Elephas maximus indicus: one gene and its partners. The protein of the gene in region 4 interacts with the protein of the main gene of each other region in a pairwise test. Links are inferred from orthologs where the notes say so. Each region holds a gene or a part of one and is shown on either strand. Other genes may lie near its edges. The genes, in order: DEUP1, HSBP1, MED4 and KIFC3.

What was found.
Region 1: the proteins of KIFC3 (region 4) and DEUP1 interact in binary tests that used the Homo sapiens proteins (3 or more experiments, as listed by UniProt). The two-hybrid records come from large-scale screens. The link is inferred for Elephas maximus indicus from reciprocal best matches to the Homo sapiens genes KIFC3 and DEUP1.
Region 2: the proteins of KIFC3 (region 4) and HSBP1 interact in binary tests that used the Homo sapiens proteins (3 or more experiments, as listed by UniProt). The two-hybrid records come from large-scale screens. The link is inferred for Elephas maximus indicus from reciprocal best matches to the Homo sapiens genes KIFC3 and HSBP1.
Region 3: the proteins of KIFC3 (region 4) and MED4 interact in binary tests that used the Homo sapiens proteins (3 or more experiments, as listed by UniProt). The two-hybrid records come from large-scale screens. The link is inferred for Elephas maximus indicus from reciprocal best matches to the Homo sapiens genes KIFC3 and MED4.

The regions. Positions count from the first base shown.
Region 1 is NC_064825.1:27,651,989-27,659,852, reverse strand, and holds the start of DEUP1 (deuterosome assembly protein 1), read left to right. Parts: upstream 1-4,864; 5' UTR 4,865-5,054; intron 5,055-5,174; 5' UTR 5,175-5,452; intron 5,453-5,486; exon of another isoform or gene 5,487-5,623; intron 5,624-5,653; exon of another isoform or gene 5,654-6,314; intron 6,315-6,794; 5' UTR 6,795-6,838; coding exon 6,839-6,867; intron 6,868-7,864. UniProt on the Homo sapiens protein: Key structural component of the deuterosome, a structure that promotes de novo centriole amplification in multiciliated cells.
Region 2 is NC_064839.1:49,799,510-49,807,228, forward strand, and holds the start of HSBP1 (heat shock factor-binding protein 1), read left to right. Parts: upstream 1-4,718; 5' UTR 4,719-4,755; coding exon 4,756-4,800; intron 4,801-5,332; coding exon 5,333-5,399; intron 5,400-6,177; coding exon 6,178-6,296; 3' UTR 6,297-6,298; intron 6,299-6,811; 3' UTR 6,812-7,719. UniProt on the Homo sapiens protein: Negative regulator of the heat shock response. Negatively affects HSF1 DNA-binding activity. May have a role in the suppression of the activation of the stress response during the aging process.
Region 3 is NC_064832.1:30,888,154-30,895,097, forward strand, and holds the start of MED4 (mediator of RNA polymerase II transcription subunit 4), read left to right. Parts: upstream 1-3,939; 5' UTR 3,940-3,968; coding exon 3,969-4,093; intron 4,094-4,100; exon of another isoform or gene 4,101-4,749; coding exon of another isoform or gene 4,750-4,778; intron 4,779-6,944. UniProt on the Homo sapiens protein: Component of the Mediator complex, a coactivator involved in the regulated transcription of nearly all RNA polymerase II-dependent genes.
Region 4 is NC_064839.1:24,689,281-24,697,182, reverse strand, and holds the start of KIFC3 (kinesin-like protein KIFC3), read left to right. Parts: upstream 1-4,884; 5' UTR 4,885-4,991; intron 4,992-6,067; exon of another isoform or gene 6,068-6,129; intron 6,130-7,902. UniProt on the Homo sapiens protein: Minus-end microtubule-dependent motor protein. Involved in apically targeted transport. Required for zonula adherens maintenance.

The DNA of each region.
Region 1 (7,864 bases), on a different chromosome or scaffold from region 4:
TGATCCCCTCTGCCCTCTCATCTCCCCTCCAAACAGGAACTGCCCACATGGTCTCATGTGTCTACTTGATCCAGGAAGCTCACTCCTCACCAGTATCGTTTTCTATCCCATAGTCCAGTCCAATCCCTTTCTGAAGTTGGCTTTGGGAATGGTTCCTGTCTTGGGCTAACAGAAAGTCTGGGGACCATGACCTCTGGGGTCCTTCTAGTCTCAGTCAGACCATTAGGTCTGGTCTTTTTATGAGAGTTCGAGGTCTACATCCCACTGCTCTCCTGCTCCCTCAAGGATTCTCTGTTGTATTCCCTGTCAGGGCAGTCATCGGTTTTAGCCAGGCACTATCTAGCTCTTCTGGTCTCAGGCTGATGTAGTCCCTGGTTTATGTGGCCCCTTCTGTCTCCAACTGACTTTTATTTGTTTATTTTGTTCCATGCCACTTGCCTGAATCTTTGGATTAGTTCCAGTAGCTTTCTTGTGCAGTCTCTGGGATTTTCTATGTATATGATCCTATCACCTGTGAATAGGGATAATTTTACCTCTTCCTCATCAATTTGTATATCCTTTATTTCCCTTTATTGCCTTATTGCTCTAGCTAGGACTTACAGTATAGTATTGAATACAAGTGGTGATAAAGAGCATCCATTCTTATTCCCTTTCTCAAGTGAAATGCTGTCAGTGTTTCTCCCTTGAGAATAATGTTGGCTGTTGGTCTTGTATATATTCCCTTAGTTATGTTGGGAAATTTCCCTTCTATTCCTATATTGTTGAGAGTTTTTATCATGAATGGGTGTTGGACTTTATCAAATGCCTTTTCTGCATCAATTGAGATAATCATGTGACTCCTATTCTTTGTTTTATTTATGTGGTGGATTGCGTTGACTGATTTTCCAAAGTTGAACCATCCTTACATATCAACCTTACTTGTTTTAACTTTTTTTAAATTGTGCTTTAGATTAATTAGTTTCTCATTTAAACAATATTACACATATTATTTTGTGACCTTGGTTACCAACCCTATGACATGTTAACACTCTCCCCTTCTCGACTTTGGGTTCCCCATTGCCAGCTTTTCTGTCCACTCCTGCCTTCTCGTCCTTGCCCTTGAGTTGGTGTGCCCAGTTAGTCTCATTTTATTTTATGGGTCTGTCTAATCTTTAGCTAAAGGGTGAACCTCAGGAATGACTTCATTACTGAGCTATAACGGTGTCCAGGGGCCATACTCTCAGGGTTTCTCCAGTCTCTGTCAGACCAATAAGTCTGGTCTTCTTTTTTTTTTTTTTTTTGGTGAGTTAGAATTTTGTTCTACATTTTTCTCCAGCTCTGTCCAGGACTCTCTATTGTGATCCCTGTCAAAGCAGTCAAGCTCACTAGCCAGGCATCATCTAGTTTTGCTGGACGCAACCTGGAGGAAGCTATGGTAGCTGTGGTCCTTGGTTTTCTTCATTCTCCCCTGCTCCAAATGGAGTGGGACCAGTGGAGTGTCTTGGATGGCTGCTCACAAGCTTTTAAGACATCAAACGCTACTCACCAGAGTAGGATGTAGAACATTTTCTTTATAAACTATGTTATGCCAATTGAGCTAGATGTCCCCCGAGACCACAGTCCCCGGCCCTCAGACCAGTAATTTGGTCCCTCAGGGAGTTTGGATATGTCTATGAAGCATCAAAAACCTTGCCTTTGTCAAGTTGTGCTGGCTTCCCCAGTATTGTGTACTCTCTTACCCTTCACCAAAATTACCACTTATATATAGTTTATTTAGTGTTTTTCCCTTCCCCCCACCCCGCGATAACCATCAAAAAGTGTTTCTTTCTCTGTGTAAACCTTTTCATGAGTTTTTATAGTAGTGGTCTCGTATAATATTTGTCCTTTTGTGGTTGACTTATTTCACTCCAGATTCATCCATGTCATGAGATATTTCACAGATTCATCATTGTTCTTCATGTTGTATAGTATTCCGTTGTGTGTATGTACTAGAGTTTGTTTATCCATTCATCTATTGATGGGCACTTGGGTTGTTTCCACCTTTTTGGTATTGTGAATAATCCTGCAGTGAACATGGGTGTGCATATGTCTATTCATGTGACGGCTCTTATTTCTCTAGGCTATATTTTTAGGAGAGGGGTTGCTGAATCATATGGTATTTCTATTTCTAGCTTTTTAAGAAAGCACCGTATCATTTTCCAAAATGGTTGCAGCATTTTGCATTCCCATCAGCAGTGCATAAGAGTTCCAATTTCCCCGCAGCCTCTCCAACAATTGTTATTTTTTATTTTTTGGATTTGTGCCAGTAATGTTGGGGCGAAATGGTATCTCATTGTGGTTTTGATTTGCATTTATCTAATGGCTAGTGATCTTGAGCATTTCCTCATGTGTCTGTTAGCTGCCTGAATGTCTTCTTTGGTGGTTTGTTCAGATCCTTTACCCATTTTTTAACTGGATTAGGTGTCTTTTTGTTGTAGAGATGTTGGATTTTCCTAGAGATTTTAGAGATTAGACCGTTGTTGAATTTGTCGTAGCCAAATTTCTTTTCCCAATCTGTAGGTTCTCATTATACTCTTTTGGTGAAGTCTTTTGATGAGCATAAGTGTTTAATTTTTAGAAGATCCCAGTTATCTAGCTTACCTTCTGGTGTTTGTGTGTTCTTAGTTATGGTTTATGTCATGTATTAGGACCTCTAGAATTTGCCCTATTTTTCCTTCTATGATCTTTATAGTTTCGAGTTTTATACTTAGTTCTTTGATCCATTTTGAATTAGTTTTTTTGTGTGGTGAGAGGCATGAATCCTGTTTCATTTTTTGCAGATGGACACCCAGTTTGCCAGCACCATTTGTTAGAAAGACTGTCTTTTCCCCCATTTAATGGATGTTGGGCCTTTGTCAAAGATCAGGAGACTGTAGGTGGATGGGTTTTCATCTGGGTTCTCAGTTCTGTCCCATTGGTCAATGTGTCTGTCATTGTACCAGTACCAGGCTGTTTTGACTACCGTAGCTGTATAGTATGTTCTGAGGTCAGGTAGTGCAAGTCCTTCTACTTTATTCTTCTTCTTCAGTAGTGCTTTACTTATCCGGGGCCTCATCCATTTCCATATAAAGTTGATGATTAGTTTTTCCATCTTGTTAAAGAATACTGTTGGTATTTATGTCGAAATTACATTGTATTTGTAGATTGCTTTGTATAGAACTGACAGTTTTCACAGTCTACCTATCCAGGAGCATGGTATATTTTTCCATTTATGTAGGTCTCTTTTGGTTTCTTGCAGCATTTTGTAGTTTTCTTTGTATAGGTCTTTTATGTCCCTGCTTAGATTTATTCCTAAGTATTTTACTTTTTTAGGAGCTATTATAAATGGTATTGCTCTCCTGATTTCCTTTTCATAGTTCCTTTTATTGTCAAACTTATTTTTTAGACAGAGTTTGAAGAGCACTAGATTTGGAGTAAGGAGCCCTGGCGATACAGTGGTTAAGTGCTTGACTGCTAACTGAAAGGCTGGTGGTTCAAACTCGCCAGCCGCTCCATGGGAGAAGATGTAACAGTCTGTTTCCATAAAGATTACAGACTTGGAGACCCTATGCGATAGTTCTACTCTGTCCTATAGGGTTGCTATCAGTCAGAATCCACTCAACAGCGGTGGGTTTGATTTTGGTAGATTTGGTGTTATATGACCTGGGTTCGTATCTTAGCTGCACTTGAAGTAGATATATCATCTTGGACAAATCATTTATTCTTGCTAAGCCTTGGTTTCCTAATAACACCTGTTACATTTGCTTCATGAGTACTTTTGAGCACCTGAGGAAATAATGAATGTGAAAATACTGACCAATAGTAAAGAGCTACACAAGCACGAGTGACCTTGGGCATCCTGAAACTTCATTAACAGCCCTTGCCAAGTTCCATTTTTTCTTCCTCGGGTCAAGAAAAATACATCGATCCATTTAGTTTACAAAAGAATAAAAGAACATGACTAGGATTTTCAGAATAATGTTAAGATGAAATGATCACTCTCTTCATTCAATCATAACATATGTGCTATGAAACACTTATTTAAAACTAATAACCTGAGTTACTTTATACAGTTCATCTATGAGACTCAATTTGTTAAGAAGCAGCAAATGGTTTTATGAAATTGAAATGGAACCTGGATGGAGGAATGTGGGAGGATATTAAATTGATAACCATATTAAATAGCAAATTAATGTTAATGTTATGAAAGTAGAGTGCAAATAAAAGATTTTAAGGACTAGAAGTTAATCAGCTAGATGTATTAGAAAGGAAGTCTGTTCCTCAAATAGATACAAGAATATTTTTCAAACAGAAAATCCAAGCGCTTAAGTCTTCTTTAAGCCAAACAACAGTTTAGCTTAATTAGTAAAGAATGTCTGCCTTGAGTATTGTGCTCTTTTAAAGAACTATCTAAATGGATCGAATTGACAAAAACAACAGTAAAGGTTAGATAGGAAGCTTAGGGGGCAGTGAGTTTATGTTAATGGGGGAGGGACAATTTGGAAAAGGAGGGTGACAACAACCTGAAGAATGTAATCAATGTCATCGAATTGTACCTGTAGAAATTGTTAAATGCTGTTTATATTTTCAACAACAAAAAATAAATTATTTTAAAAAAATCTCTCAAAGTTAGCTTTGAGAGATAATGTTATAGCTACAGGCTATGACATTATTTCCTGTCATTTCCGCTGTGAAATGTGAAATCAAGACAGTGAGACAGCACTTGTATCATCACTCTTGGAATTTGGTGGAAAAGGAAAGAATCTGGAATCAGTCATCCTGGGTTCCACCCCAGGTCCCCCCACTTAGCAGTTACTTCCTTCTCCTTGAATGGGAGACAATACTATTTGCTTCGCCAACACGCAGAGTTGTTCTAAGGACCCAGTGGGAAAAAAAAAAGACAGGTACAAATGCTGCAGTTACCGCGACCAGAGTACTGTGGACTAAGCAACACAGTTAAGGAAATCCAGCCCTTCCGGGCTGAAAGACATTTTGGTGAAAAGAGAAAAAGCCAGCTCTGTTCACTCTGTCCTTGATCACGTTTCAGTTTGGGACAGGTGAGAGAACGGTCAGGGAAATTTAAGGAACTTGAGTGCGGAACCCCCAGCTGTTTACTCTTTGTTCCTTAGTTATTTCATTCTTTCTGAGCCCTTGTTTATTGCCGGTCCCTGCTTTAGGCACTGGAAGCCACAAAGAAAAAATGACTCAGAAGGTGCTCTCAGGGAGCTCTGCGTCTAGCGAGCTGACACTAGCCACACAGCAGCGGGGCAGCGAGGTCGCACTCGCCTGGGCTGAAGTTTCGCGCGGCCCGAGACGCCCCGCGGCCACCGCCTCCCGCCGATCCGCCCGCGCCTCCGCCGGGCACTCCCTGCCACCCTCACCCCCACCCCCACCCCGACGGCCGCGAGTTCGGGCCGCGTCCCCATGGCAACCAGGAGCCAAGCGGCGGACCGCGGTAAGCCGGGCGGGAGAGGCCGCAACGGCCTAGGCGGCCGCGCGGCGGGCGAGCCCGGACGGCGGGAGCGCGGCGGCGGGTGGCGAGGCCCTCGAGGCGGGGCGGGAGGGAGGCCCAGGCGTTCCTGCTCCCGGAGCCTCAGACCTCTCCGGCGGGCGCCGCGCAGCGCAGGTAACCCGGCCCCAGGCCTCCCCGGTCTCGCTTCGCGATCTGACCCTCGTCCCCCGGGTCAGGCGCGGGTGACCCTTGCCGGGGGGGGGACCCCAACAGGCCGGCTGCTCCGGGGAGACTGGGCCTGAGCTGTGCGCGGGTTGGGGCGGGGGTCGGGGTCAAGGCTGGGCAGCGCAGCGGGTGGTAGGACCGAGGGATATAAGAGCCGCCTTTGCAGAATCCAGAGCAGAGATTCTCCCTGAGTTAGAAGGCCTAGGTTCTGGTTGTGTGGCCATGGACAAGTCACTTAGTATGTCTGTGCCTCAGTTTCCCTGACATTAAACTGAGGGATTTGAGAGCCTACAAAATCATTCATCCCTTCATCCTGGTCAAGCTTTCCATTCACTGCCCCTACCCCTTGCCCCACCCCTCCACACACAATTCCAGGACTTCTCTTAATTTCCTTTGATTTGATAGTGGAATGAGCCCGAAGCCTTCTTCCTCATCCTACTACTTCGACTGCTGTTTGACTGACTTTTATTCAGTGATGCGGAGGAGTTGAAGTCCTTTTTCAATACTTTGTCCATTTATCCTCGTAGATTATTTTTCACTAAAACTTTGTTGCTGGGAAAAATCTTTTGCTTTAGGCAAGTACTGATATCTCTATTTTGTCAAGAGGATGTGCCAGTGCCCATGGAACCATTGAGGAATGGTAAGATTTATATTTTTAGGCAATTCTTAACCTTTTTTGTCCTAAATTTCGTAGTATATTCATTCTAGCAAAACTCAGAAAGGACTAAAGAAAGAATTTGCTCAAAGGTAAACCATTTAGGGGATCCACATGAAAGAAAAGTTTGTGAATATCCAACTGGAGCTCCTCTTGAGTAATGATTCTATTTTACTCATCCTCATGTACTGAGCATAGTACCTGGTGCTGAGCTATTGTTCAATAAATAGTGAATGAGCGCTCATTTCAGTCAGTACCACATATTTCAAGTTATTATTAATCAATATCATAGCTGCATGGGACACCCTGCCAAAAAAAGCCCAAATTTCAACATTTTGTAGAATCGTGAGCTACTCCGCTCAGAAAAACTAACCTCAAATGGTTTGCTGATAGCAAAATGTTCATATTTTGTGGGTTAATTAATGTAAGCGTTTTAGGACTCTAGATAATTTTTTCTCCTAACAGATTAAAAATCAAGAACCATAAACCAGATTCAGCAGCTTCTCAACATGGAGAACCAGGCCCAAAATACAATGGGGTAAGTGCTAAGAAACTTCTGTTTAATAAGCTGACACTTAACAATGCCAAAAACTCCCTGGTGATACATGAGTTTTAAAATTTAGCTTTAATAGCCTACCTACTATCCTACGGCCGTTGAGTAGATTCCGACTCATAGCGACCCTATAGGACAGGGTAGAACTGCCCCATAGAGTTTCCAAGGAGCACCTGGCGGATTCGAACTGCAGACCTTTTGGTTAGCAGCAGTAGGACTTAACCACTATGCCACCAGGGTTTCCAGCATTAATAGAAGGATGTGGAAATTACTTTTGGTGAGGGTGGGGGGAAATTTCAAGTGATTATAATTAAGAATCTATAGTGTGATCTGTGGATCTGCGCTTGAAAATCACAGCTTTCCAACTTTTAGCGACTTTGTCTGGTGTCTTGGGTGATGGGTGCCTACGCCCAGGGCACTGACACTGCTGGCCTCGTGCACTCTTCGGTTCTTACAGTGCAGCACCTCCTGGCCATTTTGCTCCCGTCTTGCTGCACCAGGTGTCCCACACTTCCCTCTACTCTTGCACTTAAGACTCAACTCAGCACTTCAACACAACCCCAAAATAGATCCAACTCCACAAAACAAGGATGGATATTAAACCAAAAATTTCATAGAGAGCTAAGGAGTAGAATTTGTATAGCATCCCCTATCATAGAAATTTAACCAAATTCCTTTTCGTAAATATCTGTCCCTACTTCCCTGCCACCAGCACCACGAAGTTTCCTCTTCATATTGTTTCATTAGCCAACTGGCCACTGGCTGATCCCAGAGCCAGGGGTGGAGGTGAGTGGGGATGTTACTGTAGTGACTGATCTTGACCGTGGCTGACTTCGCTCTAGTCAGCCACTTGAGGTGTCTCACTTTTAGCTCTTCTGTTCAGACCTGCTTTAACTTTTAGCTTTTCTACTCAGACCTGCTTTAACGTCTGGCTAAAGGAAAACTGCCCAAGTCTGGATAATAATAGCATCAATTTTTTACT
Region 2 (7,719 bases), about 25 Mb from region 4:
GTGTCAGGGGCCCAACAAGAAGGGCAGTGTGGCTGGGGCAAAGTTGGGGAGGGGATGGTGCGAGAGCAAGTCAGGGAAGTGGCAATGTCCTCAAGAGGGCTCATGAGCAGTATTTGTGTATTTCTACACAAATAACACGCACCTTCTACATTGGTTTGTCAGTGGCTCCCTCCGCCCGTGGGATATTTTCCTAAGCACCGCTATGCCAATTTTTTTTTTAACATGTTGCTGTAAAGAAATGTTGGCATAGTGGTGCTTACAAAAATACCTGGGTGGGGAGAGGGATGGAGGCTGGCAAACCAATGCAGAAGGTATGTACTATCTGCATGAAAACAGAGTAAGTATAACATGTTGAAATGCAACTTCCAACACCTGCCAGCTGCCAAGTGCACCAGTCTCCCTCCATGATCCTCTAGCCTGAAATCACAATGGAGGGGCTGCCCCTCCACCCATCTAAGCTCCGTAATCCCCAACCCCTCCTCATCAACCTTCCACGACCAATTATTCTTTCAACAACATGTAGGTGTGGAGGGTGAGAATTAAGGGGCCTTGACTGATCGGCTCTATTTACTCCACAATATAGAAAATAAGGTTATCCTGGGTTTGAAGAGGAAACCCTGGTGGCATAGCGGTTAAGTGCTATGGCTGCTAGCCAAGAGGTCGGCAGTTCAAATGCGCCAGGCGCTCCTTGGGAACTCTATGGGGCAGTTCTACTCTGTCATATAGGGTCGCTATGAGTTGCAATCGACTCGACGGCAGTGGGTTTGGTTTTTGGTTTTTTAGGGTTTGAAGAGACTGCAAAGGCTGAAATGACCACTGGAGGGCGAGAGCAGGGGGCCTGCCAGGCCACTTGGAAGGATAAGGCCCCACATCCTGAGCTGCTGTGACACCAGCTCACTCAGGTGTGGGATTCTCGGCAGCAGAAGCAGCAACCACAGCGACTCTGAGCCCATACAGGTGCAGCGACGGAAAGAACAGATTACAAGGTTTCTCTAAATCCCTTCTCTAATCGTGTCTTCTCTGCTTGTTGTTAGCTGCCATTGAGTTGGCTCCGTCTCATGGTGACCCCCCGCACAGGAGAACGAAATGCTGCCAAGTCCTGAGCCAACCCCATGATCGGCTGTGGATCAGACCACACAGCTCCATAGGGTCTTCACTGGCTGATTTTCAGAAGATCACCAGGCCTTTGTTCCTAGTCTGTTGTCGTCAGGAAGCTCCACTGACACCTGCTCAGCATCCTGGCGACACACAAGCTCCCACTGACAGACAGGTGGTGGCTGCACATGAGGTGCACTGACCAAGAATCGAACCCAGGTCGCCCACGTGGAAGGTGAGAATTCTACCACCGAGCCACCACCGCCGCCGCCATTCCTCATCTGCTTACGCAAAGCAAACAGACAAGCAAAAATCTCATTGCTGAGCAACTACACCTGTACAGGAACACCCCCTCAGCATATATCTGGAAAAAGAGAGCATTCCAGCTCAAAACAAGGAGCTATTATTAAAGCACCATATTAAGCCCATGTAAAACCAAACCCTCTTGAAAGGCGAAAAGAGAATTACAACATGCAATTAATCTAGAAAGAGCTAAAGAGTAAAAAAAAAAAAAAAAAAAAGTGCTAAGAGGAGCTAAGACAACTACGACACTTTAAATAAAGGTTAAAAATGAGGGTTGTTGAAAAGTGAAGTCTAAAAGGTTAATTACTAGTGCCTTACACATAATACACTAGTTTTCTTAATGGGACAATATTCAGTTTAGGTTCAGCGTGTCAGCCCCACAAAGTATATCAGCCATGACTATAAATTAGTGAAGCTTTCACACCAAGCAGCTGTTTAACAGACCTGTGGTCTCTGCCACACAGACTATACAGTCTTTCTATTGAAGTGAAAAACAAAGGAACAAAACAAAAACCTCCACTAAAAGAATGCCAAGTTTATTTGCTGTTTATGTAAAGAAAATTTCAAACAGGATAAAAAACCTCAAGTCTCCTGCCAGAGGGGGAAAAAATACTCCAGGTCCTGATGCAAATTTACGTCCTTCTGTTCCTCAAAGGCCATAAACCAGGGTGGCTCACAACTTCGGTGTCCAGGGTGCAGGTACCCAGACTTCCACGCTGAGGGTGGTAGCCCTGAATGATGGGGTCTAAAGTAAGAAGGGGGAGGTCCTACCTCCCCTTGGCTACTTGGTAGCTAAATGACTGGAGGTTTCTGAAAACTCTTTATAAAGTAACAAGCACAACACAGATGGAAGAAGGTGATGTTACTTCACCAGCCTTCAATCTCAGCATAGATGGAAGAACATTCTCAAGAAACGGCCGGAGCAAGAACAAATTCATGTTCGAAGAACAAGTACACAGAATTCGAGGCAGCGTCTACAGACCCTTTTAAGCCAGGGGTTCTCAATCGGAGGGAGTTTTGCCCCTGGGGGATGCTGCCAATGTCTGGAGGAATTTTTGGTTCTCACGCTAGAGGTGCTACTGGAATGTAGCAGATAGAGGCCAGCGATGCAGCTAAACATCCTAGAACACCCAGGACAGCCCCCATGACAGAGAATTTTCCAGCCCAAGTGTCAACAGTGCCACTGTTGAGAAACCCTGCTCGAAGCTCAGAAAACTCACGGAATTCTGGAATGATAGAAAAAGCAGAAGATGTAGAGTCAGAAAGTCCTGTGTTCAAGTGCTGCATCTACTGCTTCCTAATTGGATGACCTTGTTTACGTTTCTTAGCCCCTCTGGGACTGTGTTCTTAGAATTGTAAAATGATAATAATTATATTACAGGGGTGTTCTGAGGATTAAGCAAAAACACTGAGACAAAAGTATCCAGGTGAGCAGACTGAGTCCAGTACAACTAGATGGTGCCCAGCTACCACCACTGACTGCTCTGACAGGGATCACAATAGTGGGTCTAGGACAGAGCTGGAGAAAAAGGTAGAACAAAATTTTAACTCACAAAAAAAGACCAGACTTACTGGCCTGACAGAGACTGGAGAACCCACAAGAGTGGAGCCCCCAGACACCCTTTCGGATCAGTAATGAAGTCAATCCTGAGGTTCACCCTTCAGCAGAAGATTGGACAGGCCCATAAAACAAAATGAGACTAAAGGGGCACACCAGCCTAGGGGCAAGGACTAGAAGGCAGGAGGGGGCAGGAAAGCTGGTAATAGGGAACCCCAAGATTGAGCTTCTAATCTCAAGAAACACCAAAACCCACAGTCTCTTAGCCCCCTGACACTGTCCCCTCCTTTACCAAAGAAGCCTTCCCCAACAACACCAAGGAACATCACATTGCAAGAGAAGCCAGACACTGAAAGAGGCCCACTGTCTGATTTCACTTACATGAAATTCAAAGGCAAGACCAGTGTGCGATGTGAAAAGTCAGGGCTTGGTGACTTCTGCCGGGTAGGAGAGGGCCTAGTGGGCTGGCCATGTTTTTAAGCCGGAGGCACGTAGGATTTCTGCACTTTGCAGTAGGCATGTTAGACAGTACCTGAAAGTTAGAATCGCACCAGCCACCTGGCCCCGGGGCAGCGGAGACCCACCTGGGCCGGCATTGCCAGAGCTTGGCAGCCACTGGCATGGCGGACCGTTGGTTGCCTCTCTGCCCTGAGGGCCCCTCCAGGTACATAGGTCTACCTGGTGTGCACAGGTGCACCTGTGAAAGGGACAGTAGGCCAGCCCCTCTGCTGGACTCAGGTATGCCAGAGCGGTGACAGCGCGGGGACGCGCACAGCTGGGCTGATAGTCGCAGGGCCCGGGATGTTCGTCCAATCGACCCCAGGAAGCCAAAGCCGTCCCAACTACTGCGGGAAGACGGTCAGGGCATTCCCTATTTGCCAGGATCCGGTTTTGTTCCACTTTTTTCTGCCTGGGAAAAACAAAAAAAACCAAACCCAGTGCCGTGGAGTCGATTCCTACTCATAGCGACCCTATAGGGGAGAGGCCCAAAAGGAGATCAGAGGGGCGGGCGCCGGGGACGGGAAAGTTAAAGACGGGCGGGGAGAGGTGGCGGCAGAGCAACAGGGGCAGGGCAGTGCAGGGCCCGGACGGGCAAGGCAGGGGCGGGGTGGGAAATGGGGCAATGCAGGGGGGTAAGGCCAAAGGCGGAGGGCGAAGCCGAAGAGGCGGGGTGAGACAGGTTAGGGCGAGGAGGGGTGGGGCGAGGACGACCGTGGAGGGGGGGAGGTGAGCGGAGAAGGGCGGGGCCTCGCTTAGTACCATAAGGGCAAGAAACCCAAAACCAAACCCTTTGCTTTCCAGATTAGACTCATAGCGACCCTACAGGACAGGGTAGAAGTGCCCCAAAGGGTTTCCAAGGAGCGGCTGGTGGATTCGAACTGCTGACCTTTTGGTTAGCAGCTGAGCTCTTCACCACTGCGCCACCAGGGCTCCAGAAACGGAAGAAAAAACAACCAAACCCGTTGACGTAGAGTGGATTCCGACTCATAGCGACCCTATAGGAGGGAGTAGAACCATCCCGTATAGTTTCCAAGGAGCGCCAGGTGGATTCAGACTGCCGGCCTCCTGATTAGCAGCGGTAGCTCTTAACCACTAAGCCACCGGGGTATCTACAAAGGCGAGAGCTCGGGGCTTTTCCGTGGCGTTGACTTGAACTACAGCTCCCACAATACCCCGCGGTCTCGCGGTCTCTCTCTCTCTCTCTCGTCGCGAGAAGAAGCCGCTGGGGGCGTCTGCGCGGACAAACGGAAGTGTAGGTGACGGTCGGAGATATCACCGCCAAGCTGGGAAGCGGGGAGATGGCCGAGACCGACCCCAAGAACATGCAGGATCTCACCTCGGTGGTAAGGGGCGGCTGCGCGGGCCCGAGGACGCGCCATCTTCCGCGGGCGCCTCCCGGGGCCCGCGGCGGCGGCGGCGCGAGACGTTTCTGGAGGCTTCGCCGCCTCCGCGACCCGCCGGGGCCCTCGGTGTAGACCTCTCCCTGCCCCAGACCCCTCCTGGGTGTGTCTCCTCCTGCCCCTGAAGGCCCCTGATGACCCCCATGCTCCCGCCAACGTCCCATGCTCACCCCTCAGCTCTGGCGCACCCCCGAGATGTGTGCGTGATGCCTTCAAGTCGCCAAAAACAACCAAAAAACCCTGCCGTTTTTGAACCACAGCGGGCCCACCCTGAAAGGGGCTCCGCCGGCCTTCAGTCTGATTTAACAGATGAGAAAAAACTGAAGTCGGAGAAGGAAGTTTTTGACTAAAGGTCGCAGAGCCGCCAAGAGGCCGAGTTGGGGCTGGAGCCCGGGGTCCAGGTCTCACTCCTAGACCAGGTTTCTGTCTTGATCCCATGAAGGTGCCTCAGGATAAGGATGTTTTCTTCTCTTAGGTCCAGACACTGTTGCAACAGATGCAAGATAAATTTCAGACCATGTCCGACCAGATCATTGGAAGAAATATCCTTTTACTTCGTGTCAGCCTCTAATGGGCCTTGGATCCTACTTGCCAGGTAGTCGGTAGATGCCTAAGAAGCCCCGGTGGCGCAGTGATTAAACTCTGGTTGCTAACTGGGCTTCAAACCCACCATCTTCTCCACGGGGAAAGCTGTGGCAGTCCGCTTCCATAAGGATTACAGCCTTGGAAACCCGATGGGGCAGTTCTACTTTGCTCCATAGGGTCGCTGAGTTGGAATCCACTGGACAACTGGTTTTTTGTTGTTGTTTCGGTAGATAAAATGGGTGGTTTGCAGACCAGTTTCAGCCTGCCATTTACCAGATTACCTGGATGTCCTCTGTTCCCCAGAAGTGCTGTGCTAAGGGCTAGGAACACAGAGTTGAACTAGACAGAGCCCTGGCCACAGGGAACTTACAATCTTCCCATAATAATGGCTAATGTGATTGACTTCTGACTGTGAGCCAAACACTTCTTGTGTCTACTCCTTAGATCCTTATGAATAGGTGATGCTGTCACCATCTTTGTTTAGCAGATGAAGAAACTGAAGTTTAGTAAAGTGAAAAAGCTCGCCCAGGCTCCCATCACTGGCAAGGGGCAGGGTTAGGATTTGATCCTGGGCATCCTTGCCCCAGGTTCCTGTACTCTTCAGAATATCCAGAGGAAACTGGAAAACCAGTTTCATTAACACAATTGTGTTTAAGGCCATAGTACAGGACCTTGGAAAAAGGGGATAAGAAATGGGGAAGTGGAAATGCTGTTCATTGTCTTTAACTTGATCACTTGATGACATGAGTAGTCGCATTGATGATCTAGAGAAAAATATTGCAGACCTCATGACCCAGGCTGGGGTGGAAGAACTGGAAGGTGAAAACAAGATTCCTGCCACACAAAAGAGTTGAAGGTGAGGAAGGAGCTAATTATTTTTAAGAAGGAAAAAAGGAGAGTACAGAGAGGTACCTCTTAAGTATTATTTTGATGTAGATAAACTTCTCTAGATGAATTCCCAGCCATGGCCCCAGCGAGCATCCCTTTTATTCTCTCCCCCTGTGGACTTCATGTTTTGACATGGGTAATTTGGAAAATGCCCTGCTAGTTTTATAAACTTCTCTAGGTCTTTTCTGTGATTTGGCATTCAGATATCCCATAAAGCAAATTGAGAACATCCTTAAGAACTGCAGGATTGAAGACTTTGGAGAGACAGGGAAGATACAAAGCAGTGGGAATAGGAAATAGTCACAATTTTTTACAAAGTTCTAATTAAACCAGTTGTGTTTTTGCTAGAATATTGTACAAAGAAAACATGTTTTATTCACTAGAGAATTCTGAAAGGATTTTTAGTTGATAATTCTGTGTATCATTTTTATTTGTCCTCATATAATGAAAAACATCTTGATGGTGTTCCCTTTTTCAACAGGTTGCTAATAGTTTACAGTGAGGTCTGGAACACAATTTTTACAAGCCAAGAGAAGACCGAATGGCTTTTTGCACCTAACTACTACGTGTAGACAGGTTTTATATTATAAAGTGTGTGTTCTTACCGTAAATCATATAGTTAGTTTTCGGAGTGATTTTTCCTGTAGTTTCTTGAATTTTTTTTCTTGAATATGGTAAACTTCACATCTCGGACCTTGGTCTGTTGTGCTGTTATTAAACACTAAAACTCTGGCAGTTCCTACATAAAATTGTCAAAATTTTAGAGTGTTTTCATGAAGTCATTTTCTGTCATTCCTTTTGTAGTAGTTGCTATTTGATAAAAATTGCTCTGTGGCTTTTTTCTTAGACAAATGGTAAATCCTTCAGTTAAACTGAACTTTGTGAAGTAAAACATTAGTTGAGTTTGAGGTTCTTAATTCTCAGCACAAAGTGGCTGTTGAACTGACACCAAACAGCGTGCTGGCAATACTTTCCAAACAGCCAGAAACATGTAGAATTCGTTTATTCCGAAATACCTGGCACTCCTGTGTGGCCAAAACTCAGAATCGAACCACAGCTCTATTTCTATTATAAGTGCCTGAGATCAGATGCTGAAGTCCATGAAAAGTCACTATTGCCACTTTAGTATGTTTAAATATGGAAAGTAACGGAATAGCCTAACATAATGAGATGTCATTTGTTACAGTTTTGCATGAGATTCTTATACTTCAGTAGAACCCTATATTCACCTATAATAGTTATCATGAAATACCTGGCAGGATTTGAAAACCTGAATTATTCCATCCTTTCTTTGAACTATTAATTGGAAAAAAGAAATACAGATTACCTACAGAAAAGGGCAAGAGACCATATTAAGTCCAGTTGCTTGGCTAGAAAGTGATGAATGAC
Region 3 (6,944 bases), on a different chromosome or scaffold from region 4:
AATTTCAAGTACCACTACGAATAACGTTTGTGTGTTTCTCCAGCCATATTCAGCTGCATTGGTACAGGTACTCAAAAGACAGAGCTGAATTTAGCCTGGTTTGTCACCTTGCTGGAGCCCTGGTGGCACACTGGTTAAGAGCTGTGGCTATTAACGAAAAGGTCGCCAGTTTGAATCCACCAGGCACTCCTTGGAAATCCTATGGGGCAGTTCTACTCTGTCCTATAGAGTCGCTATGAATCAGAATTGACTCAACGGCAACAGGCTTGGTTTTTTGGTTTGGTTGTCTTACCAAAGGATTGTTCAGCATCACACAAGCCACCACTAACAGACAGATGGTGGCTATGCATGAGGTACACTGGTCCAGGTCTCCCACACGGAAGGCGAGAATTCTACCATTGAACCACCAATGTCCCCCTGAGTTTCCGTTTAGGGTGATGAAAAACACTTGGAAATGTATAGTGGTGATGGTTACACAACATGGCAAATGTAATTAATGTCACTGAGTTGTAGTTAAAATGCTTAAAATGGCAAATGTTTTGTTTTATATATTTTAACACAATAAAATTTCAAAAAATCCAAACTTTGATAGTGCTTATATTTTAGACAGAGATTCCCAGTGCTTTTTCAGTACGTGAAGATGCCTCTTTCTTTTTAAAGAGAGTCCACATAACCAGTGATAAAGAGCATAGACTCTGGAGCCAGAATTCAGGTTCAAATCCCAGCTTTGCCACTTACCAGCTATATAACTTTGGGCAAGTCTCTTGCCCTTTCTGTCCCTCAGCTTCATTATCTGTAACAGGGATAATAACAGTACTTATAGGAATGTTCTGAAAATTAAATGAGTAATATTTTTAAAGTGCTTAGAAGAGTGCTGGCATGTTAAATTCCCTGGATGGTGCAAATGGTTAAGCGCTCAACCACCAGCCAAAAGGTTGGTAGTTCGAACCCACCCAGAGGCACCTTGGAAGACAGGCCTAGAAAGCAGCTCCTGAAAGGTCACAGCCCTGAAAACCCTATGGAGCAGTTCTACTCTGCACACTTGGGGTCACAATGAGCTGAAATCCACTCAATGGCAGCTAACAACAAGGTGGTACTTGTCTTTTTTGAATCCATGCATTGAGAAAATACTTAACATTAAAAAAAAAAAAAGATTTTTTTCTTTTTTTACCATGAATTCAGTAAGATTTATTAAAATCCTTTGTATTTTTTGTATCACACCTGGAACTGTATAATTTGGCAAAAAAAAAAAAACTGTAGGAAATATGACTTGTTAGTCATAAAGAATGCTTAATGTGAATCTCAGTTATCTAGCACTGCTATAACAGAAATACCACAAGTGAGTTAACAAACAGAAATTTATTGTCTCACAGTTTAGGAGGCTGGAAGTTCAAATTTAGGGCAATACGGAAGACTCTCTGTCAGTTGGCTCTGGTGGAAGATCCTTGTTCCTTGGTGATCTTCATGAAAGGTGGCATCCATCTTCCCCCAGCTCTTCTTCTTAATCTCCTTTTGCAGTAAAACCTGCGAAAGTTGGAAGCTGTGCAAGGTGTAAACCTGTCAGAAAAGGAAAACTCAAATATTTCCCACTAATAGAGAACAATAGAAAAGTGGTAAGACTGCAGCCAGTTGAAGTGGGAAAACTTTCGAGACCTGGAAAAACAAGGCAATCCCAGCAAGTTTCAGCTCTCACATGTGGATGCCTCAAAAGAGATTGACTCAAGACATACCCTACGCTAATATTGCCTCATTAACATAACAAAATCCATTCCCAAATAGGATTATAACCATATGTATAGGAGTTAGGATTTTACAACATATATTTTTAGGGGGCACAATTCAATCCATAACAACATGCAAATGAATTTGCAATAAACCCAAGCAGCTTTGGAGTTCACAATACATGTATACTCTCCAGGCACTGACCCTCAATGTCTGGAAAACCCTTTGTGGTAGAGTCGATTCTCACTCATAGCAACCCTATAGGACAGAGTAGAACTGCCCCTAGAGTTTCCAAGGAGCAGTTGGTGGATTTGAATTGCTGACATTTTGGTTACCAGTTGAGCTCTTAACCACTGCACCACCAGGGCTCCCAATGTAAAGTGGGACTTATAACTGGTAACTGGTCATTTTTAACTGATTGGAATTTTCCCAGAATTTTTATGTGGGAGTTACACTAATATGATCCCCCTTTCCCGCCACTGGAATCATATACCAAGATTGTCCTGTGAAAGTTAAGTAAACAACGCCCACACGTATTGCAGGTTTTTGGCACCCTGGAAACTTAACCCAAGAAATGATTGATTAGACTTTCTGGGAAGCATGCATAGAATGCAATTATGATCAAGAAAATGTAAATCTAATTTTTTCTGTTGCCTGAGAATTAACAGAAGGGGTTAGGCAGGAGCAGAAGTGGGGGATGGTCAGAAAACAAAAGGTGCCAGTGAGCCTCCTGCACCGTGTAGGGGAGAAGGCATCCTGACCTATGAACACATATATTCCAATCTCCTTAACACAAATATCCCTACACTGTGGCGATAAAGACCTGGTGATTTCAATCATTAAAAGCCAGCTGGTTCGGTGGTTGAATTCTCATGTTCCATGCAGGAGATCCAGGTTCCATTCCCAGCGAGCACAACTCCTGCACAGCCACCACCATTTGTCAGTGGGGGCTTTTGTTTTGTTGTGATGCTGAACAGGTTTTAGCAGAGCTGCCAGACTAAGACAAGCTAGGAAGAAAGGCCTGGCAATCTACTTCCAAAAAATCAGCCAATGAAAACCTTATGGATCACAATGGTCCAATATGCAACCGTTTATGGAGATGGTGCAGGGACAGGCGGCATTTCATTTCTTTGTGCATAAGGTCGCCATGAGTCCGGGGCTAAGTCCTTGGCAGCTAACAACGACCACATCTTCAATTGCTCTGTCTGATGCAAGTTGTTCAACAAGCAACATTCTTGTGATAATTGGCTTCCACGTAGGTTTGTCTATGGAGGAAAATATAGTCTGTGGCACTATTTTTTTCATCACAAGTAAATAAATCGGCGTTCTTGATTATTCAGCAGTTGCCAGTGAGTAAATGCATTTAGCATGAGTTCCTGGGGGAATCATCAACTCTGGAAGCCTGGGCAGAATCAGATTCAGCACCCTCAAAAGGACAGACCAAAGGACAAGTTGCTGGAATGAAGGGACCACAGGTACTGCTGCCTGACTCCCAGCTGATGTCCAGAGGTGACATCTCCGTCTCATCTTTTTGTAACCGCAGCACGACCAGGTACAAAACCTCACTCCCAATACTGTTGTAACTTTGAGTTTTCCCTGTAGGAAAAGCCCTCTTCTACATTGTCCTCCCCCAGGAAAGGTGGGCTACTTGAAACTTTGGCAGATGGGCAATGGTGCATTTTCGGCTTGGACCTCTGGTTCTGATTTGGAAAATGCGCCACCTCAATTCTTTATTTAAACTCTTCCCATTACCACTTTCATGCTATATTGATTAATTCAGCTCAACACCCATCTTGAGCATTAGGGAAAGCATTGTTTGGGGATGTATGGCTGTGAAAGGAGCTTACTACAGCCACCGTGAGAACCGGAAAAGGAGCGTTAGCATAGCGTTATGAGAACATAGACTAAAGGGAGGTTAATGCTGACTGAGGATAGATATTTCGCAAGATCTCACGAAGAAACTGACATAAGAGGCCATTATATAATTCCGACAAATGCTTAGATATCGTTTAGCAGAAGCCTCTCAGTGCAGCTTTGAAAAACAGAAGGCACAGGGTTTGGACCGGAGAAGCCCTGGCTGGTCCAGCAGATGGCGCCGGCGCCCTCAGTTCGCCTCCGGGCGCGCAGGGGGCGCTCTAGCCGACCACTTCCTCCGCCTTAACGACCCTTCCTTCCGCCTCCCGAGTACCGCTCTCACCGCTCCGGGGCGCAACTGCGCATGCGACGCCGGCTGGCGCCTGGGCGACATGGCTGCGTCTTCTGGTGCGGAGAAGGAGAAGGAGCGGCCGGGTGGCGGCTCGGGAGCAGCAGGTGGTAACAGCACAAGAGAGCGGCTGCTGTCTGCCCTGGAAGATCTGGAGGTCTTGTCGAGGTAATCCCGCCAGGCTGAGGGCCTGACTGGGGCTGGGCCGAGGCTCCATGACTGACTCGGGAGCTGCAATTGCGCTCATTCCCGGGACTCGGCGGCGAGGGCCGCGCTTGGGAGACTTCTGTGTGGACTCTAAAAGATAGTTCGCGAGTGTAGTGGACTTGAGGTCCGCAATCCTCTGAGACTCCGAGGCGGCATTTTTTTTCCCGCAAGAGGACATTTTAGTAATGACAGTGACCCCGGAACTCCAAGACTGTCAGAGCCTTAGCGGACCGTAGAAATCCCGTAGTCTGAGCCCCCTGGTTCACGGACCCTCTCAAACATTTATGTGACAACTGGGTGCCAGGCGCTCAGGAGATGGTACTGAAGGGGAAGCCAGATGCCGAGTTGGAGGAACCCTTTGTCAACAGGGAGAGACAGATATGTAAACGGTGACCATCGTGCGTAGCCTGTTTTCATCAGAGGTGTGCGCTGGGGCACCCCACCTTATGGACCAGGCGCCTGACCCAGCTGTAATGAGGACAGTGTCCTGGATGGAGAAAGGGCTGGTTGGGAAGAAAGTGTTCACTTATTAGGCGGCAGGTAGATGGAACAGCGTGGGTAAAGACCTGGAAACGTGAGCACGCACGATTTGTTGGTGGAATTGCAGGTTGTCGGGGATGGCTGGAGCGAAGCATGTGTGGCAAAGGTAGGAGGAGAACTGGGAGGTGAGACCGAATGTCGTTGTCCGTATTCTCCCTTAATGGTAGTTGAAGCCATCCTTCAGTGCGTCTCATACTCGTGGATGTTCAAGTTGTAATGTTTTACTCTCTAAAATGTTGCTCACATTTGCCCCCTCACCTGCACCCCACAGTCTTAACTATTTCTTACTCAGTCTGCCAACAGTTTTACTTGCCTTTATGCTTCCATACTTTATTCTTCTATGTTGCCCAAGAGCGGAGTCATCTTTCTAAAATAGGCATCTCATATCACTTCTCTGTTTAAAAATATTTGATAGGTTGGCATTGTCCAATGAGATAAAGTCCAAATTCCTTAGCTTAGTGTACAAGGCCGTTCCCCACCCCCTCTTGCATATCCTTCCCTCCAGCCTGTTGTACTCCCTGGTCTCAAAGCTGGCTTTACTTCCTCATCCTTGGTACCATTCCCATTCCACCTCCAGTTTGGTGCATCATTCATTCATCTTTTGGAATCGCCCTGAAACATCACCTTTTCTGTAGCCAGCATTCCTTGACGATTTTGTTAAATCTTATCTATTGTAATTTGAAATATACTTACCTACTGATAATCAACATTTTATCTTTGCTATAAATTTAGTCTTTGCCACAGCATTACTTACCAACTTACTAGGTCAGCGTGATATTAAGTGATGTAAGAAAAACCTAAAAACAGAGACACCAGAAGTTAAATAGCTTACATGTTTAATGAACTGCTTAGATTGTATTAGACTCAAATACTGCCGGATGACAAATAGAGCGTGTGGGAGTTTCAGCCAGGCAGCGGTCAGTGTGGTGAACAAGAAAATCAGAAGCACAAGGCGGCTGTATTATGTGTTGCCTCTGTGTGAATCATTACACAAAGCAACGCAAGTGCTATTTTCCTCTTTGTCTTTGATGGTTTCGTGATTTGTGGAGGAGAATTTGTCAGTTTCCCCATTAGCTGATCCTCTTGAATGAATACCCACATTATTTCCTAATGAAAAGACATTAGCAAGACAGAGTATTGGTAGTTTGATGTTCTCAGCTGAATCATTCATGTCTCTGCTGTGTATGATTTACTGTCTTTGGGACGGCTAATTGAAGTTTCATATAATTCATATTGAGCACTTACTTTTTGTAATGTACTAAACTCCAAATTAACATCCCATAAACACTTTTCTAAATAGGAGCGAATTTCATTTGAAAAATTTAGTGTGCTCAACCTAACCACATCTCTATGGAGATGTGCCTTTAGAATCACCGATCAGCCAAACTGAGTCTGTGAAATACCTTGAACAGGTAACCATGTTGTTCTGATACAAATCTGTGTTCAGTTAAATTTAGGACAACTAAAGATTAATTGGAAAATACCTGTGTTGCTCCTGTATGAGCCAATTCTTCCTTGAATTCTATCTAGATCTTTCTGCTTGAAATACTTCTTTGAGCTATTTCTTGGAGAATTCTCACCTGAAGGTTGAGTCTAATATTTGGTTGACTTCTAACAACTGTGCTGTGGCATCTTGATGGTGCTGTTGAGTGTGAAATTAATTGAGTTAAGGTATTCTTTATTGTCTGTTCATTTTGACCAACCGTATGGTATGGATGGTATTGATTAAGTTTTCTTTGCATACATTGTGAAGAAGTGACACCCCCTGTGGGAAGTAGTGGCTGCCACCTTTTGTTCTGAGTAGGCCTTGGTCATAGACCTTCAAATCTTTGCCTTAATCTCTCCAATAGACTACTACTTCTCACTCTTCTGCTGTGGAATCCAGTGAATTCTCCTCTGAGCCTTACTTGATGTAACATAGTTTATCTGTTTTGCTGAGTAACCCTAGTATATATTTCATATTCACCAGGGTGATGATCTTTGAGAATTTCTTCTGACATTGGACAACCCAATAGTCAATCTTGAGGTTTTACCTCTGCGTCACTTGCCAGCTGGGCTATGTATCTGAGATGTGTCTTCCTGATGCTGTCGGTACCTGTAGGCATACATATGCTTGGTATCCATGTACTTTTCATAATTAAGTTTAAATTTATCAGTTCTGTTAAATTTGAGACTAAATTGAAATTTTCTTGTGTCTCGATTTGACCAACTTATAGCCTTCCATATTTTTTTTTTCTTGACTACTGAGTATAATATTTACTTTTTGATGAAG
Region 4 (7,902 bases):
ACGTATGTGATTCCAGGCACTGCAGAGGCATTTCTGTGATCAAGTCAGGAATGGGCCCTGCCTCATGGTGTAGCTGGGAGAGGCTGTTCCAATGCAGTGTGGGGAAGGCTGCTGGGGGCCGAGTGATCAGGGAACAGTGGGAGCCTAGAGGAGCCCACCTGACCGGGCCTGGGAGGCTGAAGGAAGGTGCTCTCTAAGCTTGAAAGACGTGAAGCACTAGCAGGAATTGGCCAAGTAAAGGTTGGGCAGTGGGGTGAAGGAGAGAGGCCTTCTGGGCAGGGGGAACAGCATCTGCAAAGGCCTGGAGGTAATCTACTCAGTCCTATAGCGTCACTATGAGTTGGAATCCATTCTAAGGCTTTAACGGTAGGTAATCAAAAGTCCCTGGGTGGCACAATCCTCTTGCACCCGGCTACTAACCGAAAGGTTGGTGGTTTGGACCCACCCATGAAAGAAAGGCCTCGTGATCTGCTTCTATAAAGATAAAAGCCAAAAAAACAAACCCATTGCTGTCGAGCCAATTCCAACTCTTAGCGACCCTATGGGACAGAGTAGAACTGCCTCATAGGGTTTCCAAGGAACAGCTGGTGGGTTCAAACTGCCAACCTTTTGGTTAGCAGCCATAGCTCTTAACCACTGCACCACCATGGCTCCTCTGTAAAGGTAGTAGCCAAGGAAACCCTATAGAGTAGTTCTGCTCTGTAACACATAGGGTCACCATGAGTCAGAATTGACTTGACAGCAATGGGTTTGGAGGTCATCGAATCTCAAGTTCAATCATTAAAACTGGAAAATCATGTAAATCTGTGCTTTACTCTGGGTTATTCTGGGTTACTATGACAATCAGATCAAACACAAACTGGCTTTTCATTTCTTTCTCTTGGCTTCCCTCTGGGAAGAAGTACCCATGGCCCGCCCCTTGGCTACCTCTGACAGATGACCCTCCCTGAGTGTTAAGGAGACTCAAGCCCTTTGAACAAAAAGATGGCACTGCTGACCCATGTGTAGGGGTCAAGGTGGACATGGGTATGGAGTGTTCTTGCCACTACCCTTTTGTCTGGCCCTCCCCGAGACAGGTATGCCTCTGTCCAACTGTGGGCAGGGAGGGCCAAGGCCAGGGGCAGAAGCCAAGCGTGTTGTTCGTGGGTTCATGACTTCACATTGGGACGGACAAGTCTCTGTCAAATCCTTGGCCTCCTCTGTGCCTAGGGCAGATTTGGCAGCCTTTCAATCAAACCATCAATGAAATTCTAGGCTAGAAATGACCTTGGATTTGGTATGTAGTTCCTGGTGAGAGTGAACATTCTTTAAAAAAATTCCAACAATCATGAAACAATTTGTTTTTATATTTCAGGTCAAAGCTGTATTTGCTGGAGCCAGAACGTGCTTCCTCTAATGCCCCAGTTTTCTTTTTCCTTCACTGGTGCTCTGATCTTAGTAAACTCTTATAAGCCCGTTGCTATCGAGTTGATTCAGACTCTTGGTGACCCCATGTGTTACAGAGTAGAACTACTCCATGGGGTTTCCTTGGTTGTAATCTCTTTTTTTTTTCCTGTGCTTTAAGTGAAAATTTACAAATCAAGTCAGTCTCTCATATAAAAATTGCACACACCTTGCTATGTACTCCTAGTTGCTCTTCCTCCAATGAGACAGCGCACTCCCTCTCTCCACCCCATATTCCTGTGTCCATTCAGCCAGCTTCTGTCCCCTCTGCCCTCCCATCTCCCCTCCAGACAGGAGATGCCAACATAGTCTCATGTGTCTACTTGGGCCAAGAAGCTCACTCCTCACCAGTATCATTTTCTATCCCATAGTCCAGTCCAATCCCTGCCTGAAGAGTTGGCTTTGGGGATGGTTCCAGACTTGGACTAACAGAACATCTGGGGACCATGACCTCCGGGTCCTTCCAGTCTCAGGCAGACCATTAAGTCTGGTCTTTTATGAGAATTTGAGGCCTGCATCCTCCTGCTCTCCTGCTCCACCAGGGATTCTCTGTTGTGTTCCCTGTCAGAGCAGTCATTGGTTGTATCCTTGGCTGTAATATTTACAGAAGCGGATAGCCAAGGCTTTCTTTCGTGATGCCGTTGGGTGGGTTTAGCAAACCTCTGGTTAGTAGTCTTTTGTCTGTGTGTGTGCATGTGGATACCCTACCTGGGTTCCTGTCTCAGCTCTGTCACACACCGGCTTTGTGAATTAACCTTTCTGAGGCTCAGTTTCCTCTCCTGCAAAACCGGGATATGATGGTGCCCACCTTATAGGGTGTTCAGGGTTAAATGAGATCTTGTTTATAAAGAGCTTAGTGCAGTGCCTGGCACAGTGTTAGCTTTGAATAAATGGTAGCTATTATGTGCATAGAGAAAAAAAAGACTACTAAAATGTTGGCAGCCTTTATCTCTAGTGGGTGGGATTACGGCTACAATGAACATCTATTACTCTTGTAATCAGAGAGAAAGAACAATAAATGTTATTATTAATTTAAAATTCTGGCTTTGGCTTTGTTGGAAGGAACCTGCAGTTAATGTCAACGTGCCAACCCGAAAGTAAGATAAGACCTCCGGTTTTATACCAAGACTTTAAGGACAGCCCCTGCCTACCACCACCAATCAAATAGCCCACCCACTGCCCTCGAGTCAAATAATAGACTATTATAATAGAGGGAGGAGCCCTAGTGGCTCAGTGGTTAAAGTGCTAAGCTGCTATCCAAAAGATTGGCAGTTGGAACCCACCAGCAGGAGAAAGATGCAGCAATCTGCTTCCCTAAAAATTTACAGTCCAGGAAACCCTATGGGGCAGTTCTGCTCTGCCCTACAGGGTCACTGTGAGTCAGAATTGATTTGACAGCAATGGGTTTATACTAGAGGGAGATACTTGCCCAGAAATCTAGAGAGATTTCAACCTCATCTAACCTTGCAGTCCCCCCTGACCACTGCTGTCTGTGGGGGCAGACAGGGGATACTCTCAAAATAAAGCCTCCCCCATTGGGAAGGTTCTCCTCAGCTCTTAGTTGGAAATGTCTAACTCTCCAGAGAGCACCCCAGGAGAATGACATCTATCCTCTACTGGGCCTTTGCTTGGGCATCTCATTTAGAAAATAAAACACACGCTAGCCCACCTCCAACAGTGGGGAGAGGGGCTGTGAGTGGCCTCATCTGGCAGCCACTGAGACAGGTGGCTGAGGCTCAGGCCTTCAGTCTGCTCTGATCAAGCTTCCTGACCTTTAGCCTGTGGCCCTGGTAGCAGCAGGAGACTGGAACTGCCTGATCCCCTCCCGTCTCGCTCCTCCTGAGCCATCCTCTGCCAAGCAGGAAGGGGCAGAGTGCCCACCCTGCTCGGATTATCTGTGGAACCATCGGTCTGCGCGCTGGGCTGGCTTCCGAGCTTTTCTTTCTCCTTCTTCCGCACCCTGAAGGGGGAATAGTGCTGTTGACTCTGGAATAAAATGCCGCCTCTGTTTGGGAGACAAAGAACAGAGTAGCTCCTCCGGGTCAGCTGTCTCTCCTGGTCTGCCGGCCCCCTGGCCTCCCCCACGCCCTGTGAAGAGGCTGGAGCTAGGCCGGGAGCCTCTGCCTACTCCCAGGGCTGCTGCACTCTCAACATGTTTTCACTGGAGCTGAAAGGAATACTGTACCTTAAAAACCCCAAATGCTTCCCTGTTCTGGAAGATGTTAATTTGCTGGGGCGTGGGGATGGGGGTTTGCTGTGACTGGGAGGCAGCCTGGCCTACATGTGCATACTAGAGTGAGTGAGGGCATGTGTGTGAACGTATGTGTGAGAACGTGTGAAAGTGCATTGTGTGAGGTGACTACAGTGTGTGAGAGTTTGTATGAGAGTATGTGTTGTCGTCGAGTCAATGCCTACTCATGGTGACCCCATGTGTGCAGAGGAGAACTGTTCCATAGGGTTTTCAAAGCTAGGACCTTTTGGAAGCAAATGGCCAGGCCTGTCTTCCTAGGTGCCTCTGGGTGGGTTCAAACCACCAACCTTTCTGCTTAGTTAACTACTTGCACCACTAGGGACTTCTCAAAGTATGTGTACTAGGGTTTAAAAGAATGTGTGTACTAGTACTCAATAGAGCGTGTGAGAACATTTGTGGGAAACCACGTCAGAGAGCACGTGTGAAAGTGCTGTGCTTGTATGTGGTGAGTGCGTGTGTGAGAACATGTGGTAGTGTGTGCATGTACTAACTAGAGGGTGTACGAGAATGTGAAGAACGGGTGTACTGGCTTGTTAGGCAAAGCATGTGAGATGTGACAGTGCGCGTAAGCGCTAACTAGAGTGTGTGAAAGTTGTGTATTACGGTGTGAGGGTGTGAGTGCTAGTGTGGAAGCCTGTGTGCAAACGCATGCGTGAATTAACTAAACCCGTTGCCGTCGAGTCCGTTCATAGGGTTTCCAAGAAGCAGCCGGTGAATTCGAACTGCTGACCTTTTGGTTATCAGCCAAGCTCTTAACCATTGCACCACCAGCCCTGGCAACCGTGTATTAACGAGTGGATGAATATGTGTGAGACCTACGAGACTTGTGTGAGTGTGTGTGAAAGCATTTGCAGTAGCGTGAGAGAACACGTGTATCAGAGTGTGTGAAAGACTCGGTGCGTGAAAGTGTGAGTTCTTGTGGAAATATGTGCGCACCAGCGTGTGCAGGGCGCAGAAGGCGGGAGAGACCGCGTGGACACGTCTGGGTGAAAGCTTGACGCCTCAGGGTGGGAGCCCCCGCGTGTGAGTGCACGGGGGCGCGCGCCCGGGCCAGCACGTGTGCGTGAGTGCGCGCGCCGCGCCCCCCGCCGGGGTCTAAGCCAGTTGCCATGGGAACGCGCCGCGGCCCGAGCTAATCATTTCCTGTGGAAAGTGTGCGGGAGGGGCGGGAGCGGGGCGGAGCAGGGCGGGCCGAGGAGGAGGTGGCGGCGGCGTGGAGCTGCCTCCAGCCGGCTGGCCGGGCCGGGCCGAGCCCCCGGCGCTGCGGCGACCCCGGGATCGTGCCTCCGTGAGGCGGGTAAGTCGGAGGCCCCGGCGGGCTGCGGGCGGGCTGGGCGCTTGGGCTCCACCCGGCCCGCCGTACGGGGCGCCGTGTCCGAGCCCTTCCTCACCGCCGGACCCCTGTGTCCGGGCCCGCTGGGGCGCGGGGGAAGGCCCGGCCCCGGCTTCGGCCCCGGAGACCCAGCCCTGTGCGGTCCGTTGGCACTGTCCAACCTGGGCCGAAGACCGTGCCCCGAGCTGGGCACGGGAGCGGCACGTCTTCTGGGATCAGAGCAGCTTCGGGACCCCCGTTCCGTTTCCATCGGCCTGGGAGAGCGCGGACCCTACCCCAGAAAGGCAGATGTTAATCAGCGCTGCTTCCTTCCTTTGAAGGCTGCAGTTTTGGGGCCTCCCACCACGTACCCTGAGCAATTCGCTTTCCAGCTGGCAGGGCCGGGGTGGGGTGGGCCAGCCCCCAGTTCAGGAAAGAGGACCTTGGCAGGTGCCCTGTTGGGCAGTGGGGAATCGGGCCGTTGCCAGCGGTAGGCTGGAGGTCCCAGCAGCCACCCCCTTAAGCCCCTCATAGCGAGTTAGAGCCGAACTTAGGCCTGGTCCTGGGAGATTGTAAAGAGGAAGCTGTATTTAATTTCTCAAGTGCCCTTTGCCATCACCATGAGCACATCTGTCTCAAGGTTGAGGGTTGTGACCACCTCTGGCCCTTCCGGGTCCCTGGCTTTCCCTCTCCCTGAGGCTGGGGGAGCACCCATTCTTGCCCAGACTATGCCCCATGCCCTTGATAAAGTAGCTGTCTCCTTGGCCAGCAGAGTCATTTGCCAGGAATGCAGCCTCAGAATGGGGCCCTGTATTTGCAGTGATTGGACCTTAGGATGCAGGGTCATGAATTCCACTGTCCTTAAGGGCACAAGAGAGCAGAGAATTTTAAAATCTGGATTGTTGTGAAAAACGCAGATGTGTGGCTCTGTGCAGGGAAGATCCCAGCCCCTGTGCAGTCTCCCTGACCTTCTGCTTGTACTCCCAGGGGGACTGAGCCCTCCCCAGCAGCAGTCCCTGGGCAGTTGCAAAATCTGTCCTTTAATCATTGAAATGCCCCAGGTCTGGGAGAAGGAGGAAACCCTTGACCCTGCAGTTCTGCCACCTGGCCTAAACCCGGGAAGGTAGGTGTCCCCCTCCTCCAGCTGTCCCCTCTGCATTCATCCACCACAAGTGGGAGGTCACTGAAAAATAAAAATTTTAACTCTTTGTATACCGCCAGGCGCTCTTTGGAAACTCTTTGGGGCAGTTCTACTCAGTCCTGTAGGGTTACTATGAGCCGGAATCAACTCGACGGCACTGGGTTTTTTTTGCCAGTATTGCTCTGAACACTTTATATGTGTGTTGCCTAATCTTTACACCAACTGTAGAAGGTAGAGTTCTTCCCATTTTACAGATGGGGATAATGAGGCACAGAGAGGCAAAGTGGCTCTCCCAAGGTCACACATCTAGTAAGTGGCAGAGCCAGATTCTGAACCAGCTTTTGGTTATAACCACTCTTCCATGTAATCCCCCTCCCCATCCTGGGATGGCAGAGGCCCCAGATGCCAGGTGGGTTATGGAAGGCCCATGCAAGTAAGGGGAGAGGGTGCGTCTTTCTGGGCCCAGAACTGTGGCCTTATTTGAGATTCCTTATTACTCTTGACTCCCCACCCTCCTCCAGCTGCTAAATTCAGCTGCTTTTTCCTCTTTGAGATCTTGTACACACCCTCTCTCTTCCTGACATCTTCCTGGCTACCTCCCTGACTTCCCTTCCTGAAAGCCACAGAAATAATGTCTTCTGCCCCTGCCCCTTAGATCTAGCTGATTTCCTTATATGTCTTCTCCTTCTACCATGCAGTTGACCAGCAGTGCCCTGTACCGCCTCACCTTGTAGTGGCTTGGCTCACAGGTAGAGCCAGCCTCTCTCCCTCCTTGCTCGTTGGGCAGCTCGTCCGCAGGGTTGGTTGTTTGCCTGTGCCAAGCAGCCTGGAGAAGAGGACATTTGACTGCTCCCCTTGGTTTCTTTCCTTCCTAGGGGTAGATTATCTGATAGGCAAGGTAAGCATGGCGCTTGCCTTGCTTACCAGACCATCTATGGTAAACAATTTCACATTTTTTCACCACATTAAAGTTTCTTCTTCTAGATATGGCTGGCACCTGTCCCTCTCCCAGCCCCACACCACCTTCCTATAGAGTCAAAGCCTTTTTTCCAATTTATAATTCCTAATAGGGGCGGATGACCCAGTAAGCAAGGTAAGCACAAGCTTACTTGTGCTTACTAACCTGTAGTGAACAATTTCACATGGGTTTCAGCACATCTCAGCAACACTGGTCCATCTCGATTTCCTCAGTGGAGCCAGCCCACATATTTGGATTTGCCTCCACCCGTCCTGTGGCCCACATTCCTGCCCCATTGTGGTGACGCTGCACCCAGGAGCCTCCTCCTCCAAGTTTTTGTCCCCTCACCAGGAGACTGGCCTTCTAGGGCTCAACTACGCAAACATCAGACACTACGTCTTCGTGCCTCCCACCCTGCCTCTTACTGTCTTCCCCTCTCTGTGCTTCCATCATTCTTGTCCCTCTGTCTACCCAACATGCTCATATCTCTCCTGTTCCAAAAACCAAGTCCTCTCGATTCATCCTGTCCTTCCCCTGCTAGCCAGACCTCCCAAGAGGGGCAGGTAGCCACTTCCTCTAGCTCCCACCCCACTCCTGAGCCTTCCCAAGTCTGCCCCCTGCCCTGCTCCATCAACAAGCTCTCTTAAAGAGCACCCAGGGGCTCCCTGCCCGTCTCAGTTTCCTTCCAGTCTGGTTCACTGGGAACTGGCATCCTTTCCTTCCCATTCTCTCTCTGGTCAAGTCTGAGGACTCTACACCTGCCCACCTTCAGCCACCTCTGCAACCAGCCTTCTCTG